Xenopus tropicalis: one gene and its partners. The protein of the gene in region 3 purifies or fractionates together with the protein of the main gene of each other region. This does not show direct contact. Links are inferred from orthologs where the notes say so. Each region holds a gene or a part of one and is shown on either strand. Other genes may lie near its edges.

The links.
Region 1: the proteins of map3k8 (region 3) and tnip2 purify together in Homo sapiens (affinity purification with mass spectrometry; 3 studies listed by BioGRID and IntAct, with this or other methods). This does not show direct contact. The link is inferred for Xenopus tropicalis from reciprocal best matches to the Homo sapiens genes MAP3K8 and TNIP2.
Region 2: the proteins of map3k8 (region 3) and rela purify together in Homo sapiens (affinity purification with mass spectrometry; 5 studies listed by BioGRID and IntAct, with this or other methods). This does not show direct contact. The link is inferred for Xenopus tropicalis from reciprocal best matches to the Homo sapiens genes MAP3K8 and RELA.

Annotation. Positions count from the first base shown.
Region 1 is NC_030677.2:21,862,548-21,870,015, forward strand, and holds the start of tnip2 (TNFAIP3-interacting protein 2), read right to left. Parts: upstream 4,619-7,468; 5' UTR 4,240-4,618; coding exon 3,871-4,239; intron 1-3,870. UniProt on the Homo sapiens protein: Inhibits NF-kappa-B activation by blocking the interaction of RIPK1 with its downstream effector NEMO/IKBKG.
Region 2 is NC_030680.2:38,454,168-38,461,953, reverse strand, and holds the start of rela (transcription factor p65), read right to left. Parts: upstream 3,904-7,786; 5' UTR 3,733-3,903; coding exon 3,726-3,732; intron 1-3,725. UniProt on the Homo sapiens protein: NF-kappa-B is a pleiotropic transcription factor present in almost all cell types and is the endpoint of a series of signal transduction events that are initiated by a vast array of stimuli related to many biological processes such as inflammation, immunity, differentiation, cell growth, tumorigenesis and apoptosis.
Region 3 is NC_030682.2:23,821,927-23,829,446, forward strand, and holds the start of map3k8 (mitogen-activated protein kinase kinase kinase 8), read left to right. Parts: upstream 1-2,861; 5' UTR 2,862-3,203; coding exon 3,204-3,219; intron 3,220-7,520.

The DNA of each region.
Region 1 (7,468 bases), on a different chromosome or scaffold from region 3:
TAACATTTTGCAGTAGTTCTGAAATTATGTTTTTTTTGCAGTTCTCTAGCAGAGTGGGTAAACTTCTGATTAGTACAGTCAATGACCCAATCAACTAGGAAAAACCACTGAAATGGAACAATAGTAGGTAAAAGCTCAAACATAAACATAACAAGCTTTGGTTAAATAAAAACAAGATTTACTACCAAATAAAGCCCCTGTAAGCTGATAGTGTGCATAGAGGCTTCCTAATAGCCAATCACAGCCCTTATTTGGCACCTCCATGAACTTTTATGGTGCTTGTGTTGCTCCCCAAGTCTTTTTACATTCGACTGTGGCTCACGAGTAAGAAAGGTTGGGGATCCCTGCCCAAAGGCTATCATCCCACTAGGTACCATCTCTCCCTACTATACCTGCTATCCCACAGCCCCAGTCCCTTCCCAGAGGCTATTATCCCCCCACTGCTACTATAGGCACCATCTCTCCCTACTATACCTGCTATCCCACAGCCCCAGTCCCTTCCCAGAGGCTATTATCCCTCCACTGCTACTATAGGCACCATCTCTCCCTACTATACCTGCTATCCCACAGCCCCAGTCCCTTCCCAGAGGCTATTATCCCCCCACTGCTACTATAGGCACCATCTCTCCCTACTATACCTGCTATCCCACAGCCCCAGTCCCTTCCCAGAGGCTATTATCCCCCCACTGCTACTATAGGCACCATCTCTCCCTACTATACCTGCTATCCCACAGCCCCAGTCCCTTCCCAGAGGCTATTATCCCCCCACTGCTACTATAGGCACCATCTCTCCCTACTATACCTGCTATCCCACAGCCCCAGTCCCTTCCCAGAGGCTACTATCTCCCCACTGCTACTATAGGCACCATCTCTCCCTACTATACCTGCTATCCCACAGCCCCAGTCCCTTCCCAGAGGCTATTATCCCCCCACTGCTACTATAGGCACCTCTCTCCCTACTATACCTGCTATCCCACAGCCCCAGTCCCTTCCCAGAGGCTATTATCCCCCCACTGCTACTATAGGCACCATCTCTCCCTACTATACCTGCTATCCCACAGCCCCAGTCCCTTCCCAGAGGCTATTATCCCCCCACTGCTACTATAGGCACCATCTCTCCCTACTATACCTGCTATCCCACAGCCCCAGTCCCTTCCCAGAGGCTATTATCCCCCCACTGCTACTATAGGCACCATCTCTCCCTACTATACCTGCTATCCCACAGCCCCAGTCCCTTCCCAGAGGCTATTATCCCCCCACTGCTACTATAGGCACCATCTCTCCCTACTATACCTGCTATCCCACAGCCCCAGTCCCTTCCCAGAGGCTATTATCCCCCCACTGCTACTATAGGCACCATCTCTCCCTACTATACCTGCTATCCCACGGCCCCAGTCCTTTCCCAGAGGCTATTATCCCCCCACTGCTACTATAGGCACCATCTCTCCCTACTATACCTGCTATCCCACGGCCCCAGTCCTTTCCCAGAGGCTATTATCCCCCCACTGCTACTATAGGCACCTCTCTCCCTACTATACCTGCTATCCCACGGCCCCAGTCCTTTCCCAGAGGCTATTATCCCCCCACTGCTACTATAGGCACCATCTCTCCCTACTATACCTGCTATCCCACGGCCCCAGTCCTTTCCCAGAGGCTATTATCCCCCCACTGCTACTATAGGCACCATCTCTCCCTACTATACCTGCTATCCCACGGCCCCAGTCCTTTCCCAGAGGCTATTATCCCCCCACTGCCACTATAGGCACCATCTCTCCCTACTATACCTGCTATCCCACAGCCCCAGTCCCTTCCCAGAGGCTATTATCCCACTGCTACTATAGACACCATCTCTCCCTACTATACCTGCTATCCCACAGCCACAGTCCCTTCCCAGAGGCTATTATCCAACTGCTACTGAAGGTGCTGTGCTGCCTGTACAGTTCATATGTTGATATGTGTTTTGCTACTGAGCTTCCCACTCTCTTCTACTTACAACTGCTGTTTTGGTTGGAAAATGCTTGTATGACAAACTGGAATAACATTGTATAACTGCCAAAAAAATTCCTGTCAGCTGTGTCTATCACGAGTTACGATGAGTAGGTTTCCCTTATATCACTCATGTGCCCTCTAAATACTAAATACTTCAGCTGTGAGTCACATGAGCCCAAAATAAATCAAATGAATGGATATATAAATAGAAAATAGGGGTGCCCTGAATGGTACAGTAAATATATAAGAATGACAATATAGAACTAAAAATATGACTATTATTTGAGGAGACAGTAAGTACTGAGAGACTACACTACGGGATAGAGAGGCTGAGACTCCTGGGAAAGCACGTACGGGTTTAATTACAGTGATTTACATTAATGATCTATATAAGAGCTACTCAAACAGAAAGTAAAAATGAAAGATACAAATATTCCCAAACTGCTTCTAAGAAATCAACTGATCTTCTGGAAGCCACAATTCCCTGGGACAATATGTCTTAGGGTGAAGACACACAGAGCTAATTAGTAGCAGATACTTGTCATTGCAATTAAACACCAGAAAATCCCCTGCCATAGACAATACTGAGAATTGCCTCTGCTAAAACACATATAGAGACAATTATTGGTAAATGATCAGCATTGTCTAATTTTGTAGCCATGACAAGTAGCTGCTACTAGTAGCTCCGTGTGTCTTCACCCTCAGAGTTCAGAACTGAAAACTGCTACACGCATATAAGGCTGACATATTATAATGTACGTATGCTGCATAGTCACATAGTTCATCCTGCTGAGCACAGCCAGGGGATGGGATAGGAGATTATAGTATATTAACAACACGTAATACCTACACCATCTAGCCCTGTCACTTACATCTGAGGGGCACAATGCTGCTGGGAATACCCAGCCTATCACATTCCCTTTAAACCAAAGCCAGGCTTATTGTCTGGGTAAAATATCCTCAAAATTCTGCATGGCTGAAGCAAGGTTAAAAAAGACAGCAGGTAACAACACTGTAAACGAAGGGGTCCAACCAGCAGTTCTCCAATACGAACCCCAAGCACCCCTGAGCCCTGGTGGGCACTGTGGTTCTGCAGCTGGACAAGCCCATAGCGGGCACTGTGGTTCTGCAGCTGGACAAGCCCATGGTAAGCACTGTGGTTCTGCAGCTGGACATGTCCATAGCGGGAACTGTGGTTCTGCAGCTGGACAAGCCCATAGTGGGCACTGTGGTTCTGCAGCTGGACAAGCCCATAGTGGGCACTGTGGTTCTGCAGCTGGACAAGCCCATAGTGGGCACTGTGGTTCTGCAGCTGGACAAGCCCATAGTGGGCACTGTGGTTCTGCAGCTGGACAAACCCATAGCGGGCACTGTGGTTCTGCAGGCTGGACAAGCCCATAGTGGGCACTGTGGTTCTGCAGCTGGACAAGCCCATAGTGGGCACTGTGGTTCTGCAGCTGGACAAGCCCATAGTGGGCACTGTGGTTCTGCAGCTGGACAAGCCCATAGCGGGCACTGTGGTTCTGCAGCTGGACAAGCCCATGGTAAGCACTGTGGTTCTGCAGCTGGACATGTCCATAGCGGGAACTGTGGTTCTGCAGGCTGGACAAGCCCATAGCGGGCACTGTGGTTCTGCAGCTGGACATGTCCATAGCGGGCACTGTGGTTCTGCAGGCTGGACAAGCCCATAGCGGGCACTGTGGTTCTGCAGGCTGGACATGCCCATAGCGGGCACTGTGGTTCTGCAGGCTGGACATGCCCATAGCGGGCACTGTGGTTCTGCAGCTGGACATGCCCATAGCGGGCACTGTGGTTCTGCAGGCTGGACATGCCCATAGTGGGCACTACAGGTCCCAGTAGATGCACAGAGGGCATAGCTACCTGGCTCAAGGATTCCACCTTCTCCTCACATGTCCTCTCCGTCTCCTTCAGTCTGCTCTTCATTAAAGCCAACTGGTCCATCAAGCTCTCCACTAAGGACCTGGAGGAGGAGACGTGCGGCGGAGGCTCGGTGCCCAGGGCAGCCTGGCTGGCCATCAGCTTCTGGATGAGACTTTCCTTGGCAGTGAGTTTCTGTTTGAGGCTGCTCACCTCCTGTTTGGCTTCATGATAGAAAGAGTTGAGGACATGGTAGCTCTGCACCTTTTTCTTCAGTGTCCTGTTTTCCCTGTGCAGTTTATCCACGGTTTCTTCCAGCACCTTGAACCTGGCCACCAGCGCATCTGTGCTGCCATCACTGATAGAGGACATTGTACCAAGGGGCAATCAGCACTCTCAGGCGCAAGCAATCCGGGCTGGGGCGCTAATCAGAGCACAGCTGGCTGCGCAGTCAGTACATAGCAGTCCGTGTGAGTGAGGCAGGCAGGCTGCATGGCGCTATTATACACCGGAAGGCGGGGCTTGGAAATTCCCTCTCACCAGCGGAGTTTTCTAGTACTTTTACTACTAGTAGGGCTCCGGGTCTCACACAGAGAAATACCCTCCGCTCTCCCCAAGGGCAGCCCGGCTCTTCCCTGCATGCCGGGAGTGGCTCCCAAGCTGCCCGGGGAATCTGACTGCGACCCTGCTCGGAACATCCAGCCGCTTCCCTCTGCCAGTGGCCTCCATTGCTTCACTCAGCGGAGGGACTGCCTTGCGCCTGCGCACTCCGGCATCTGTATTAGTGTTGCTATTTACAGATAGAGAGCAGGGGATAGGGTAGAGAGAAGGGCACACTGATAAGTAAGGAATTTGGAAGTACATAGACAGAGCCATACATAGCTAAATATGGAAGGGGGTAGATAGGTATATAATGGGAATTATAGACTAGTAGATAGATATGCCAGTGGGTACATAGATGACAGACAGGCCAATAGATAGATATGCCAGTGGGTAGATAGTTGGCAGAGAGGCCAATAGATATGCCAGTGGATAGATAGTTGGCAGAGAGGCCAATAGATAGATATGCCAGTGGATAGATAGTTGGCAGATAGGCCAATAGATAGATATACCAGTGGATAGATAGTTGGCAGATAGGCCAATAGATAGATGACAGATAGGCCAATAGATAGATATACCAGTGGATAGATAGTTGGCAGATAGGCCAATAGATAGATATGCCCGTGGGTAGATAGATGACAGACAGGCCAATAGATAGATATGCCAGTGGATAGATAGTTGGCAGAGAGGCCAATAGATAGATATGCCAGTGGATAGATAGTTGGCAGAGAGGCCAATAGATAGATATGCCAGTGGATAGATAGTTGGCAGATAGGCCAATAGATAGATATACCAGTGGATATATAGTTGGCAGATAGGCCAATAGATAGATGACAGATAGGCCAATAGATAGATATACCAGTGGATAGATAGTTGGCAGATAGGCCAATAGATAGATATGCCCGTGGGTAGATAGATGACAGACAGGCCAATAGATAGATATGCCAGTGGGTAGATAGATGACAGACAGGCCAATAGATAGATATGCCAGTGGATAGATAGTTGGCAGATAGGCCAATAGATAGATATTCCAGTGGGTAGATAGTTGGCAGACAGGCCAATAGATAGATATGCCAGTGGATAGATAGTTGGCAGATAGGCCAATAGATAGATATGCCAGTGGATAGATAGATGACAGACAGGCCAATAGATAGGTATGCCAGTGAATAGATAGATGATGGATAGACAGGCCAATAGATAATCATCAGAGGGGCCAGGTGTGCACCTAGCTGGTCCTCCCTCCACCCAACGGCCTGTGTCCCCCGCTCCCCTGCCACTTGTGCTAAGTAGGTAAGAGAGTGGCTGGGGAGGGGGGCTTCTTAGACCTATAGATATATAGATAGAGGAAGCAGACCCTGCGGTCTAGGCCCCCTTCCCACGGAGCATTTAAATATGGCATAGATATTTAGACACGTGACAGTTAATTAGCTTTGGATTAAATGGGTCCCATTGTGCTTGCTGTGTGAATGTGAAATTAGACCATAAATTCTACTGGGGCAGGGGCTGATATAATGAACCAGCTCTAGGTGATTAGTTGGCACCATATAAAAATAAAACATAGAATAGTTATCCTTTATATAGTGCCATCATGCAGCACTTTACAGAGATTAGGCATCATTCACATCAATCCCTGCCCCGGTGGAGCTTGCAGTCTAAGATTAATATCACATTCACAATACATTCAGAAAATCAAATTCAGGACTGCAGCCCCCCAAGCATTAGGTAATAGATAGAGGGAATGCATAGATTGTACCAAGATTTAATCTGAGACATAGATTTGACCAAACCCTTGGATTCTTTCAACTAAAGACAATTAATTTTTTTTTATAGGTCTTTGTTGATTGCTGGGTGCATTTGTCAGACTGCCCACAAGATGTCAGCACTGAGCCTCAGTTCTTTTTTACCCTGATTTCCCTACATGGCACTAAAACTTCCAAAATGCTGACATCAGTTGTGACACAAGCAGCCTGGAAGAGTACAGAGCCGAGCGGAAACAGAACACCCACAGGCACAGAGATCTGCTAGACTTTAATCCGGACCTCTATAAAGAGATGAGGCAATAATATGATGTCTGTGCCAGTGCAGAAGAGTCCCATTACCATAGGTGCCCTGTGGAATTCCCTGGGGAGGGGTGTCTGACTTCTTTAGCTGTATGCTGGGAACTCGTTGACATTAATGCGTGTAAGGAAGGAAAATTAGAATCATTTGTATGGGTTATAGTCAGAAAGGGGCAACGGTTCTAATAACTCATTCAAACCAATTAGATAATTCTTTCAAACAGGCGACAAATGAATGCTACCTGCTGATTGGTTGATACTGGATACTAGTCTGGTGGGAAACTATGCAGGTTTAATAGACTTATTTGAGGGTCGCGCACACAATGTCCACATAAATTACAGAATATATAACATTATGTGTATAACATACGTATGGACACAGACAAACACAACAATCTCCAACCTCTTCAGAAATTCAAGGTGTACAGTCACACCAACGCCCCCCCCCAAACTCCATTCGGTTACATGGTAGCTCCCCCACACCCCACATTTTTTTTCTTGTTTGGTAAATAAATCAGTAAAATACCTAGAAAACTATTTTAGTAGTTGCAATTCTTGTGAGATAGGAATGAGGCAAATCTATAACAGACACACATAGCACTCAAACCCAGGAAATGCTACCTGCTAATTGGGTGCTATGGGTTACTGCACATGAGCAATGTATATGGGCATTATTAAAAATCTATAACAGACACACATAGCACTCAAACCCCCATATGTAATAAAATGCACTAAGTTTGCCCAGGAGCAGTAACCTAGAGCCACCAATAAGATATTTGCTTTTAAACAGGTGACCAGGAAATGCTACCTGCTAATTGGGTGCTATGGGTTACTGCACATGAGCAATGTATATGGGCATTATTATGCAATTATACATGTCTGAAGAACCAATATGAACAGGGTCGGACAGGGGGGTGCAGGGCCCACCGGGGCTTCTGGCTCGG
Region 2 (7,786 bases), on a different chromosome or scaffold from region 3:
ACTGCCCCATGAGTTCAAACAGGGTGCTTGTCATTATGTAACATTAAAGAAACTCCAAAGGATGTTTCCTTGGTGCTTCATATATTGTGGCAAGACATCCAAGGCAACTGAAAGAATGCATTATGACACACAGAGCCATCTATACAAAAACCGTTCCAAGCAAAGAACACAAGAACAGGTTATGTGAGGTTAAGGCTCATGGCCAACCATTCTTTTTCTCCGTCAGCCTGAAGTTTATGTTTTTTTGTTTTTGACAACTAAAAGCCTGTATTCACTTGAAAAGGCATAAACATTTTTGCATGGTCCCCTCTGTGTGAAAAAGTGACTCATCTACTACTGATTCACAATCTAGTGGTAGCACTAGCTAGACACACCTACAGATAAGGATAAGGTCAAAACAGCTGATGCTGCAGTTGTTAGCAAATAAAAACCTTTGTGGGGGCCTCTTTGTAATTATTAGCCTGTGAGGTACCGGGAGACAATGTAGGCACCACTAACTTATAGAATGTTTCATTTTCTACGGGATATGATCACTACACACACCTTTGCTGAGCAATTTAAGGTCCAATATCCCATTATTGGATATTACTCTAGCAGTGATACATTTTCTTTTTTAACAATGTCCACAAACCATTACCAACTATTATTCTGCTGTCAGCCTGCATATAAGCAAGCTTTAATATTTTCAGAAGTGTAAACCCCTAAGATAAATATTTGTACAGAGAAGTTTTCAACGGGTTTTCAAAATTACAATAGTATTCTATGTTGTATACCCCAAATAATAGTTATTGCAGTTGAGTTTAGACGCAGCATCTTTTTGTGTTTAATGTTTATAGGACAGTAGAAAATGCTAATCTGGCAATAATGTAAATAGCCAGTGGGAAAACAAAACTCTGGACTACTTCAGAACCAAAGCAATATATATACATGTTTTTCCAACCAGCGATTTACATTTCTGCTGGTGGGAAAGCCTTTTCAAGAGATTAGTTGCCCACTGGAGACCAGATTTTAAACAGGTGGCTAATCTTCACATGTGCCATCACCCTTAAAAAACTGAATATTTTTTTTGCCTTGAGTATTTTTGTTTTGTGGTGTATTGTCCAACATAGGTCAATCCTTAGGCGATACAGTTCTCAAAAATTCCGAAGATACACTTTCTGTCATTCTGACCAAAATGGCAACAATCTGCACTTTTTTCAACAATGAAACCTTGTAGTAGAACTGCAGCTGTAGTCAGACTAGTCAAATCAGAATTAAACTAGACAGAGTTATAGCTGGAAAAAGTAAATCACTTTTTTCCAAAACTAATTGGAGTCAACTCAGTGCAAAGTTACTTTAATTGTAATTACTACTGAAAGAAATGTTTGTTTAGCCTTTTATTCTCTGGTTCTGATTCTTGACACAATGAAGCAGAAGTCCAGAGCAGTCAAGTCCCCTGGATTAATCGCGAGTGTCCCGAAAATGCAGCCTAGCCCCCAGTCTCAAGATGGCCTTTAATACCTCCCAAAATGCACAGGCACATTGAGCATTCCATGATGTCACATGAATTTTGCGCATGTGCAATCAGTGAGGGACTGGGACCCCAGGGGCCCACCAGGAAACCTTAAATCATAGGCCCACTCTCCAAACTATTTTTCCCCCCTTTGCTCAATCAACCTCATTATTCTCCTAGTCTCTTTTATTAACATGCTAGCATCTATTTCTCCATCTATTTCTCCCCTTTGTTCCCATTCAAAAATAGGGAATGGCCACAAAGTAGACCAAATGGCCAGGAGCAGGAGGGCCCACTGACACCTGGGCCCACCGGGAGTTTCCCTGGAATCCTGGTGGGCCAGTCTGACACTGTGCGGGATGATGTCAAACACCACCTGCCTATAGGACATCGGCAGCGCGTTCTGTGCACCACAATGATCCCCTGGGAGACACTCTCCTGGAGTTGACAGCCCTGGAAGTTAGTTCCCCTCCGTGTCTGTTAATCAGCAGGCTTTTGCTACACTGTCTCATAAGTTGACTCCAGTAGTGCAGAGAATATAAACAGATAATACTTCAAATAGCAATAAAATAACTTTAAAACAATTGCCAGTTTTTATGTAAGGTATACTAAAAGGTTGTTTAGAATTAAATTCTGTTACATTGTTAAAAAAAATGTTTTGGGTGGAGCTGCTTTCTGAAGTGTGTGTTTGAATATAATAATGGATATATGTTCCCTTTTTAAAGAAGAACTACAGCTTAACTAAAGTAGTAGGCTAAAACATTTGTACATTATATTTGGGGCTTCTGTACCAGCCCAAGGCAACCACAGCCCTTTAGCAAGGAAAATCTGTGCCCCCCAAAAATGTCCCCATTAGCCCCCATCTTATTTTCTGCTGATTCGCTGCCCATGCTCTGTGCTGCTGTCACTTACCTGAGCTTAGGGACTGACTCACAATATACTGTATATATTGAATATAAATGTCCCAATACTAGGCTGATTGGAAATATTTCTGATAATGTGTGCTTATCAGCTCTGCAGCCAGTGCAATTAGCATCATAAATGAATAATTAGCCCTGCAGCATAAGCTTATAGTTCAGCTCAACCTAATTTTCTGCTTAATAATTTGCTACGTCCCCTAAGCCTGAGCATGTGAGTGTCACAGACACTTCTAACAGATTCCAGGAACGTTCAATAAGTTCACTATATAAAATATGGCATTTCTAATCAAATTCATTTTTAGGATTTAGTTCCCCCTAAACCAGTAGGTATGGGACCTGTTATCCAGAATGCTCAAGAGTTTTCCAGATAAGTGGTCTTTCTATAATTCGGATCACCATACTTTAAGGTGCCATGTAGTGATCTTTTGCTTCTTCTTTACACCACTGCCCCTGACCAGTGCAGGCGAGTGAAAAAGTTGACTTTTTGCTTAAAGTTCAACTTATCACTCTACTGTGCATGTACACCTGTCAATAGGAAGGAAGAAGCAATAAAGACTGTGAGAAAACACTCATACAGAAGTACCCAAGGCCGGTGCAGTTTTCTGCTAACAGGAGCACCAGCAGGTTATCAGGTGAGAAATTATAATCACTGAGGGGTGCCTAAAACATGACAGCACTATGCTCAGTTTATAAGGATATTATTTACAGGATATTCATGGCTCGTGTATTATATCCATATGGTGGTCAGTGATGTCATCAGTTATAATCAATGCTTAGTGATGTCATTTGTATTACATGATTCACTGAAACTTGTATATTGTAAGTATGAATTCTATGGAACTCAGGGACTTAAAACAGCCTTATATTTTACAACAGGTTGCACATTATTCAAAATATAAAGGCAATATGTGATGTTATTGGTTATAATCAGTGCATGGAAATTTCAGATATAAGACTGAGAGCTTTAACAAAGCATTTAAGCAATAAATGTTTTCTGAAACTTAGCCTAGAATCTGTAGGCTGCTGTAGGGACACAGGCTGTACATTAGCGATCCCGGTGCTGTGAGTCTAGCGGAACCCATTCCCAATCCATGAACAAAGTAACCCAAAATCTTTAAGCACTGGCCCCCCCGTATCGTCACACACGTCCGTACTGAGATTGATTAAATAAGGAAACATGAGCCAGCCTCCCGCGCGTTTATGACTATTGGGCGATCAGAGCCGCGTACAAACGCACGGCAGCTAAACGCCACTAGGCCGGTCGGTACTAATACGAAAACGGGGGAAATTCGCGATTCCGGAATAATTCTTACCCTCCATGTCCAATGCTGGCCTTTTACAGGGGCTAGCTGCCCTTGCAGTTCCAGAAATGTATAAGATATATTCGCCACCAGTACTCTTTACTTCTCCACTCCACTGTTTCACTATCCCTCTTCTTCTTCCTTCCCTAACAGATATCCGCCCCTTCTACACATTGCTACACATTGCTAGACAATCCCTGGCATAGTCTGCGGAAATACCCAAATGACGTAAGGCGAGGAACGCCCTGGCAAATGCGCATGCGCTAAGTTCACAGGTTTAGGCTTTGCCCTAGAGTTTTGTCCAATAAGTGAGACCTGTAGAAGTTATTACCGTACAGACGCATATACGTAGCAATAAAAGGGTGGAGTCAATGGAAGAAGGGGGCGGGCGACTTAAGGGACGAGTGAAAAGTACATTGCTTTTCATGACGCGCAAACAAAAAGTTTGTTTTGTTGTTGTAGTCGGGAAAAAAAGTTTGTCAGGTTGATGGCATCGTGTTGGGAGCCATTTTATACACATGGTTATTAGGAGACATAAAGCTATCAAATCTCTAATTAGGAGTCTAATTCGCCTCAATTTCTATCTTCTACCCAATTTCCTGACTGTTGTCGGAAATGTCCATTGTGCGGTTGTTGCATTGTAGCCTCCACTGACCCGGGTGTGGGGGCAACAAAAGGGACGTTCTGCGATTATTACTCTTTAGTATTCTCTCAAAAGTGAGGAGAGCAGTCTGGCTCCATGGAACGCATGCCTTAGGTTTCGGGCATTATTCCTTAGTGGGTTTAGGGGCTCGGCCAATGTAAGAGCCTTAGCGCTACACTGCGAACTCCCATTGGTTCTGCTTTCAGCTGCGTAGTTTGTACTTGGCTAATGTAGCGCTGCTGCTTTAGCGCTACGATGCGTATGTGCGCTGTAGCCCATGAGTGACTAAATGTGCCGGGCAGCAAACATGTGGCCTCTGTACATCTATAGAGGGACAGGGTGCACACATGTTTAACTCATATACATATTCTCTTACTCACTGGGCATTTCCTCTGAATAATGTATGAAATACAGGCCTGTATAATATAATATATGGCACCCCTTGTACTACAATTATTTTATTGGTAAAATAACAAATATATAGAGATTTACTCTTTTATTGCGCTGTGTTTTGCGCCTTATGTAAGGTGGCCGGTTAGCTCAGTTGGTTAGAGCGTGGTGCTAATAACGCCAAGGTCGCGGGTTCGATCCCCGTACGGGCCACACACCTTTTCCTAGTATTTAAAACAAACTTTAAACTGCTTTAGTTGCTGTGTAGCATTAAATATATAAATGAAAAGTAATGTGATTTTTTTTTTCCGGGGGGGGGGGGGGGGGGGGGTATATATAAATAATTAATATAAATGTACACTGGCCAGGGGTATGGTTCCTGCCATCCGGAATCTTCCAACACACCAGAGATCCGCTAACATGCACAGTAGAGCAAGTTTTATGGCTTTAAGGGTGAAGATACAAGGGGCAATTAGTAGTCGTGGTGACTAATCCGTGCAGCGAAAATGCTTTAGTGTCTTAATTAAAAGTTGTAGCGACTTATCGCCCCGTGTATCTTCACCCTAAGTCCCAATGTTTTCTCTACTGTAAGTTTTCTTTGGTCGGTGGGTCCCTCCTCGAAAAAGTTAAGGTGGCCACACACGTGGCGATTTGTGATCTTTCGTGCGACCATCGGTCGCACGAAAGATCGTTAAATCCGCCACTAACGTTCAGGGCTGAAACGGCAGATAAGGAGGTAGAAACAATAGGATTTCTACCTCCTGCCGATTCAGCCCTGACGGCAGATTTTGCTCAGGCGCCCGATCAAAATCTTTTAACCTGGCCGATCGGCGAGTCGACCGATATCAGCAGCTTCCTGCGATATCGGTCGACTCGCCGACTTGCCATACACGCACCGAATATCATATGAAACTATGTTTCGTACAATATTATCGGTGCGTGTATGGCCATCTTGAGCCACCTGCCAATGTATGCACTCAAATTGATACAGTAATCTTAGTGCCAGAGATATCCTAAAGCAGAGCTGTCCAACTGGCGTCCCGCAGCCCCCTCTGTGTGGCCCCCCACCTGTCTGGCTGCTTACCTTTGTGTAAGCTTTAAATGGTATCGGTACTGAGATTAACTGCCCCTCACACCTGAGATTCAGGCTGTAAACCCCTGTATTGTTTAAACATGTAATCCCCTGTACTGTTCACACATTAAAATCCCTGCATTGTTCATCTCCTGCATTGTTCACACCTCAGGGCCAGACTGTAAGCCCCCACATTGTTCACCTGTTCACACCTCAGACTGTAGGAGCAGTGCCAGCATTGTGTCACTGTATGTACAGTACCTAGCATAGGGCAGACAGAGTATGGCACACACAGGCAGGGTAGTGTAAGGCAGGCAGAGTATGGTACACACAGACAATACTCTGCCTGTGCATAATTTAGAATCTTCTTATCAGTTTCAAATGATACAGATGTAAAATCTAGTGCAATTGAAGGTTCCTCCATTTGTCTCTATGAGCTACCAATCATCTCATACAGGAACAATAACAACAAAATATTTAGAGGTATTGTATGTATTTCATTATAAAGTAGTGCTATTTAGTACTGGTGTGTTTACTTCAGAAGTTACAAAATTAAGGCACTGTGTTGCCATTGGGGCAACCATTCAAGTTCAATAAGGCTAAGGGGGACATTTATTAATGCATGAATGCTCTGAGCGTATTTTCTGCGACAATTTTGTACCTTGCGCAACAATTTCGTACCTTGCGACAAAATTTGTGCGACAAAATCGTATTGTCATGCCGAGTACGAAAGTTTCGGATTCATTCAAGCTTCGGTATCGTAACTTTCCTTGGGCCAGGTTGGAGCTGCAGAGTGCCATTGAGTCCTATGGGAGACTTTCCTTGGGCCAGGTTGGAGCTGCAGAGTGCCATTGAGTCCTATGGGAGACTTTCCTTGGGCCAGGTTGGAGCTGCAGAGTGCCATTGAGCCCTATGGGAGACTTTCCTTGGGCCAGGTTGGAGATGCAGAGTGCCATTGACTCCTATGGGAGACTTTCCTTGGGCCGGGTTGGAGCTGCAGAGTGCCATTGACTCCTATGGGAGACTTTCCTTGGGCCGGGTAGGAGCTGCAGAGTGCCATTGAGTCCTATGGGAGACTTTCCTTGGGCCAGGTTGGAGCTGCAGAGTGCCATTGAGCCCTATGGGAGACTTTCCTTGGGCCGGGTTGGAGCTGCAGAGTGCCATTGAGCCCTATGGGAGACTTTCCTTGGGCCAGGTTGGAGCTGCAGAGTGCCATTGAGCCCTATGGGAGACTTTCCTTGGGCCAGGTTGGAGCTGCAGAGTGCCATTGAGCCCTATGGGAGACTTTCCTTGGGCCAGGTTGGAGCTGCAGAGTGCCATTGAGCCCTATGGGAGACTTTCCTTGGGCCAGGTTGGAGCTGCAGAGTGCCTTTGAGCCCTATGGGAGACTTTCCTTGGGCCAGGTTGGAGCTGCAGAGTGCCATTGAGCCCTATGGGAGACTTTCCTTGGGCCAGGTTGGAGCTGCAGAGTGCCATTGAGCCCTATGGGAGGCTTCCAAAATCATGCACAGAAGTTGGAAAGGTTTTCCCGCTGTTTACAATCGTTCGGTACAAAAATTTTGTGACTTCCGGATCGCCAATACGATATTATCATGACTATCCCGATTTTTTGTAAGCATTTTCGTGATATTTGCGATCATCAGAAATTATCGTATCCAATCCAAGTTTTACCCATTTCAGGATTCAAACTCGTGATTTGATGAATCTGGCCCTAAGTGTTCTAGCCTGCCGATTATGCAGATTGTGTTAAAAAAATTGTTTACAAAGGGCTTTCTTACAGATTCTATACCTGTACTTTAGCATTGTGATTTAGAAGTGATCGTTAATGATAAATGAAATATTTTAAGAAGTAGGCCTTTTCTAATACTGATAACACATATGAAACAACTCATTTAGCTGTAATAATTGAAAACATTTCAAACATGTCATTTAGCTGCCTTTAGAAGAGTATTTAGCATGAAAAAAATC
Region 3 (7,520 bases):
CAGCCTAAAGGCAGCAAGTGAACACTGCTAATCTATAGGTACTGTATATCTGCAAAGCACCCTGACAGTAGGGGGAGGCACAGGGCGAGTGCTTGGTGCACCAAAGCCTGGCTCTAAATTAAACATAACTCTTTAGCTCCTGTTCTTTGTCTCTACTAAAAGATGGATAAGAATTTAGCAAAACAACAAGTGTTAGGCTATGGGCACAAGGGTTCATTAGCACCTTTAGGGTGCAGTGCATTCCAAAGAAATGGCCCGGCCACACCTTGAATGCATAATAAATAGGTTTCCTTATTATTGACTGGAAAGATGGCAACTGGACTGCAGCCAGAAGCAAATTCAGAACTTACACAACATACTCAGATACTACACGTTGGGCAAACAGTTGCCCTACTCACAGCATAGGCATGTAGCTGTGCGTGTCAGGTGCAGATTTCATATGTTGACTGATTAATTGATTTTTTATTTTTAATATCAGCCTCAGGCAGTAGATAGCTGGGTCACTTACTTTGTACACTGTTTTTCAAATTATTCACAGACAGCCACAACAATATGTTCCCTAAGACAAAAGTTACCCTAAAGGTGGCCATACACTCACTGATATTATTGTATGAACCAATAATTGGTACTTGTATGGCAAGAGATGAGGCAACTGATACTGGCAAAGGGCTTGGATAACGCCCGTCTCGTCGACTGGCCTTTGCACTGGCAAACGTTTAGAGCTGAATCATCAGATAGGGGTAGAATCAGGGAAGGCCTTAGGCCAGTTGGACCTATTGGGCTCAATAAGGTCACGCATCCATGGGGACCCACACCAGGGAAATAAGCACATATAGCTTAACAATGATTGCCTTATAATGCTGCTATGTGTTCTGGGACATTAAACACAAAGTTGGCACTGCATTCATGCTGCTACCCCAGGGTACGCACTGTCTGTCACTGCGTATAGTGTGCCTGAGGGGTCAATAATCGCTGTCTCACACTGTATATAGTGTGCTTGGTGTGTCAGTGCCCAATGCTTGGGGGCCACATTGTGCCATGAAATGTTGGGGGGCCAATGGAACAAGAGAAACATAGGTGAAAATGTAGAGTTACATCATCAGTCACATTTGCCCACCCAATCCTGGAACCCTGTGCAAGCTGGCGACACCTTGTTTTGGGGGCCCTGCCAAAATGGTCCAAAATCTGTCTTCGGGGCTGAATCGGCAGAAGGAGGTAGAAATCCTATTGTTTCTACCACCTTATCTGCCGTTTCAGCCCTGAACGGTTAGTGGCGCATTGTACGATCTTTCGTGCGACTGGTGGTCGACCGAAAGATCTAAAATCGCCACGTGTGTGGCCACCTTTAGCCAGTCCTCATTCCCTGATGATTTGGTGCCCAAGAGGTTCTGCAGCAACGCTTGCCTTATCTTTCGGTGCCAGTGCTGACCCATATACGTAATACTCTAACGCCAGTACAGGTATGGGATCCCTTATCCGGAAACCCGTTATCCATAAACTCTGAATTGAGGAAAGCCCGTCTCTCATAGACTCCATTTTAATCAAATAATTCAAAATTTTAAAACTGATTTCCTTTCTCTCCTTGTAATTGATCCCAACTAAGATATAATTACCCCTTATTGGGGGCAGAACAGCCCTATTGGGTTTATTTAATGGTTAAATGATTCCCTTTTCTCTGTAATAATAAAACAGTACCTGTACTTGATCCCAACTAAGATATAATTACCCCTTATTGAAGGCAGAACAGCCCTATTGGGTTTATTTAATGGTTAAATGATTCCCTTTTCTCTGTAATAATAAAACAGAACCTGTACTTGATCCCAACTAAGATATAATTACCCCTTATTGGGGTAGAACAGTCCTATTGGGTTTATTTCATGGTTAAATGATTCCCTTTTCTCTGTAGTAATAAAACAGTACCTGTACTTGATCCCAACTAAGATATAATTACCCCTTATTGGGGCAGAACAGTCCTATTGGGTTTATTTAATGGTTAAATGATTCCCTTTTCTCTGTAATAATAAAACAGTACCTGTACTTGATCCCAACTAAGATATAATTACCCCTTATTGGGGCAGAACAGCCCTATTGGGTTTATTTAATGGTTAAATGATTCCCTTTTCTCTGTAATAATAAAACAGTACCTGTACTTGATCCCAACTAAGATATAATTACCCCTTATTGGGGGCAGAACAGCCCTATTGAGTTTATTTAATGGTTAAATGATTCCCTTTTCTCTGTAATAATAAAACAGTACCTGTACTTGATCCCAACTAAGATATAATTACCCCTTATTGAAGGCAGAACAGCCCTATTGGGTTTATTTAATGGTTAAATGATTCCCTTTTCTCTGTAATAATAAAACAGAACCTGTACTTGATCCCAACTAAGATATAATTACCCCTTATTGGGGCAGAACAGTCCTATTGGGTTTATTTCATGGTTAAATGATTCCCTTTTCTCTGTAGTAATAAAACAGTACCTGTACTTGATCCCAACTAAGATATAATTACCCCTTATTGGGGCAGAACAGTCCTATTGGGTTTATTTAATGGTTAAATGATTCCCTTTTCTCTGTAATAATAAAACAGTACCTGTACTTGATCCCAACTAAGATATACTTACCCCTTATTGGGGGCAGAACAGCCCTATTGGGTTTAATTAATGTTTTACTGATTTTAAAGATCCCTTATCTGGAATACCCTTGGTCCGGAGCATTCTGGATAATGGGTCCTATACCTGTACTACTCTCTCTGTAGCCCACCATATCCAGGGCTAAGAATTATAGTGCAACACCAGGCTATTTGTATGTGTCACTTGGTATCAGTGAATCCCCCCTGGGATGGAAGCTGCTCACTGGGAGTCGCTGAGGCTGCTGGGAGTTTCTGTGTGAGTGCAGCAGGCAGATAAGCGGCACAGAGAGTCTCCCCCGGGGATAAGCAAATGAGCAGCGGGGGTGTGGGGATTTCCTCCCTGGGGGACACAGCGAGAGTTACACTGAGAGCTGCCACACTGCTCCTCTCCCTGGCACTGGCGGGGTTAATAGAATCTCCTGCTTTTCTTGTTGTTTCTCATCATTTCCAGGAAGAGCCGTGCCGCCGCTCATGGAACCTCCCCGTTTTGGACTTTCCAGCCCTCAGTTCAGCAAGCGGCACAGTCGGAACATGGGAGCCGTGTGAGGCAGCGGCGGAGCCGGGACAGCCATGCCCGGGCACAAAGGTAGGAATGGGGCTGCGGCTGGCACTGTGGGGATGGCAGGGAGGACTCCTACACAACTCACAGAGACACCAGTTTCCATGGTAACGTTCTTCTCACTGGGTGCCAAGCTAATATATATGTTCTGAAGCTTTAGATACTGAGTTGCCCTTATGCCCACTATGGCCAGGCTGGATGAAATGGCTACTGTACAGGGGGGCACATATATTTTCTGTCAAAGTGGAGGCCAGTGGGGTAGTATTTTGGGGGGCCCTCACTGCCTGTAATGAGCTGCACCCCCAGCTGCTCCCTCACCCCCTGCACTCACTTGCATTAGGCAACACAGGGTGGCAGGGGTGCAAGGGGGAATGGTGGGGTTCCAGGCCCCCCAGTCCTGCCTTTACAGAGTCTGTTGTATGGTGTTAACAAAAAACATTTAACAAAAGACAAATCTATCAGTGTAGGCACCCAGCTCTCTGCAGTCTCTGACCAGTGGAATCAGTCATGTGCACTGGAGCTGCTGGAACAGTTCTGTTTTTGTTCCAACCTTTCTCCACCCAACAGGCTGTTGGATTAGTAAATGGTACTTTCTAAAGTGATTAATGTAGCTCCTTTATGTAGCTCTGCTCTATCAATGCAGAAGGAACGCTGAGTAGCTACGTGGGGTGCTATAACAGTTAGGAATCGTAAGAGACCATCTTTATATCCGTGTCCTTCTAATAGCTGCTGGGTCTGGCTTCAGACCTGCTTGATCCTGTATATTGTACTGATGGTTGCAGTTTGAACCCACACATAAACCCCCTGTGCATTCAGTGGGAGGGGGATGAGGATAAGAGCTTGTACAGGTATAGGACCCGTTATCCAGAATGCTCGGGACCAAGGGTATTCCGGATAAGGGGCCTTTCCGTAATTTGGAAAATTTGGAAAAAATCAACAAAACATTAATTAAACCCAATTGGATTGTTTTGTATCCAATAAGGATTATTTATATCTTAGTTGGGATCAATTACAAGGTACTGTTTTATTAATACAGAGAAAAAAGAAATCAGTTATAAAATTCTGAAATATTTAATTAAAATGGAGTCCATGGGAGACAGGCTTTCTGTAATTCGGAGCTTTCTGGATAACGGGTTTCCGGATAAGGGATCCCATAATTGTATTCTATTGTATATTATACCTGGTGTAAACCAAAGATCCCATGCATACCCTCAGTCCTAAGCTGAGCTCTGTATGTGCATTAATATGTGCCCCACCACAATACACTGAGTTACCTAGCAATGTCAGAAGTAATGCAAGTTGGGTTGGTACCATTTTTGGACAGTGTGAAATATGTTATTTCTGCAGCCTCATACACCTAACCTTTAGTGGTTCCCAAACTGTGGGCTGCCCCCCCCAGGTGGCTCAGGGTCTTGCCCGGGGACCCAGGGTGAAGGACAGTTAGGGTGAGTTTTAGTGTGTGCTTATTTGCTATGTTAGATATTCTAGAATTTATGGCTGATTTAGCAATCTTTTCATATGTCTGTGGCCTTGTAATGAGCTAAGGGTGCCCTGGATTGATGATGCACTCTAACGAGGGGTTTGAACTGAATAATGCTGAAAACCACTTCTCTTGGACCATGTGCACTTTTATTCTAGGATGGTGCCTGTTTATCCACCTGTTCTAGGCTCAGAGGTTACGTGACGCCATTTATAGATGCACATTCCTTGTATCTTGCTTGCCCAAACATTGCTCTTTTGCTGCTCAGTAGGTGGCCCGTGCTCAGAAGGTGGCTCAAAGGCATTAAAGTGCAAAATACTCAAACAAATGAGAGTAACAGGTTATATACTGCGGGGTACAAGGTTAAGGCCCCATGACTGTCAGCCTGCCAGTTTATACCCAGGCTAACAATCTGCCCTACTGCACTGTAAATAAACAAATTGCAATTGCAAGTCTACTGGTTCTGACTTTAGGAACAATGTGGCAGAAGATGGCCAGACATACAGTTTCAATAAAATGTATATAACATTAAAACTATTGAAAATATGTAATGAATGTGTATTGGAAAGTATTACATTTTCTAGTTTATTTTTGGATTTTCCCCTCCCCTTTAATCTTTGTTATTTTCTTTGGAAGTATGAGTGTTGGAAACTGGGAAAGTCCTTGTTTTCTGCTTCCCTGGTGCAGTTCTTTGTCTGCGCCGATCCTTGTAGGGCTGGATGGAAAGTAAATAACTTGCATATTTTCGTTTCACTATAATGCAAGTGCTGAGATATTTATAGTGATTTCCTCAGTGGTTAAGCCCCTGGTCTGTCACATGTCTTTTGGTCTGATAAAGCATGAGTTCAGTCCATCGGGCAATCCCTTGTTGCATTGGTCAATACAGTTTGTCTGTGTTTATATATGATAAGTGGCTGTTTGTATTAGAAACAGTGCATACTGTGTGTGCGTGCTTGAGATTGTTATGGCTCAGCTGCAGTAAGTATTGCCATGTGGAAGCCATGAAGCTATCACTTCTGGATCATAAGACCTTCCATTCAAACGTATCATGTGAGCTTATTGTTTGTACATTTAGGGGTGTACCAATACACACAGTAGAGGTGGTGACAGGCCCAAGTGAGGCCTTTATTTAAAGGAGAAAGAAAGTTGAAATTAGGGGTGCCAAATATTAGCCACCCCCAGTCATTAATCACTTACCTGATACCTCAGTGCTCCTGTTAGCAGAAAACTGCACTGAGCTGGGGTACTTCTGTGGGAATACCACTCAGGGACCTTCTTCGGAATCTTCTCACCAGGCACGCATGTGCAGTAGAGTGAAAAACTTAAACTTTAAAGGAGAACTAAACCTTGAAAATCTCAGTCGCAGCAATAATGCAGGACTTCAAACTTGTCACTTGGAAAGTATTTGCTATACTCACATGCTCAGTGGGCTCTGGCCAGTTGTTGAGAAGCTAAGCTTAAGGTGGCCATACACGTGAAGATCCGCTTGCTTGTCGAGTTCGCCAAGCGAGAGGATCTTCACCCGGTATCCCCACCTACGGGTGGGCAATATCAGGGAACATGTAGGTTAATTTGATCGTTTGGCCCCAATAGCGGCAATGGGGCAGTCGATTCCGGGACCTCATCAATGAGCCGATGGGGTCACCGATCTGACTACATCTTTTAACTTGCCAGATCGATATCTGGCCAATTTGGCCTGTGTATGGCCACCTTTAGGGGTAGATGCAAATTATGAAGCAGAGAATGAGGTTGGCCTGTCATATAAGCTGATGCTACAGGGCTGATTATTAAATTATAAAGCTAATTATCTGTATTTATTACTAATCAGACATATATAGTGACATTTATATTCTATATATACAGTATATTGTATATATCCCGGCCGACTCCTTCGTTCCTCGCAGAGCAATCGTTTGGTTGCGCCCCCCACTACTACTGCGGTTTCCCGCCTTAAACCTTTCTGCCTGGCTGCCCCCTACATTTGGAATGCCCTCCCCGATTTCCTCCGGAGAGAATCCTCCCCCAGTCTTTTTAAAACTAAGGTTAAAGACTACCTTTTGGAGCACTCGCCCATCACCTGATCTGGGAACTGGCACTTATATTGTAATGTCACCCACTGTGACCTACAGCACTTATATTTGCCTATTTGTGTCTGTTAGTTACCCCTCCCATATAGATTGTAAGCTCTACGGGGCAGGGACCTCCTTCCTCTTGTGTCCTTGACTCTTAACTTATTGCTGCTGTATATATCTGTATTTATTATTATACTTTGTATTTATCTATTATCTTATTAACACCGTTTGTATTAATGTATTCTACTGTACAGCGCTGCGTACATAAGTAGCGCTTTATAAATAAAGATATACATACATACATACATACATATTGTGAGCGGGTCCCTAAGCTCAGGTAAGTGCCAGCAGCACAGAGCAGGGAATCAGCAGAAAAGAAGATGGGGGGCTACTGGGGGCATCTTTGGGGGCACAGATCTTCCCTGCTAAAGGGCTGTGGTTGCCTTGGGCTGGTACGGAATCACAAAAAATAATGTACAACATTTCTACCCTACTTCTTTAGTTAGGCTTTAGTTCTCCTTTAAGCAAGAACCCAGCCTTTTCACTCTGCTGTGCATGTGTTGGCGTAGGGCAACAGAAAAATGGATTGCTCTGTGGTGCTTGCACAGAAACACCCAGGTTGGTACAGTTTTTACGCTAACAGGAGCACTGGCCCTGGGTATTGGATAAGCTAATAAAATCACTGGGGAGCACCTAACATTGGGCATGCCCTGGTGATTTTAACTTTCCTTCTTTTTTAGTGCTTGCCAAGCAGGTGGTAATTACAGGGCATCGCA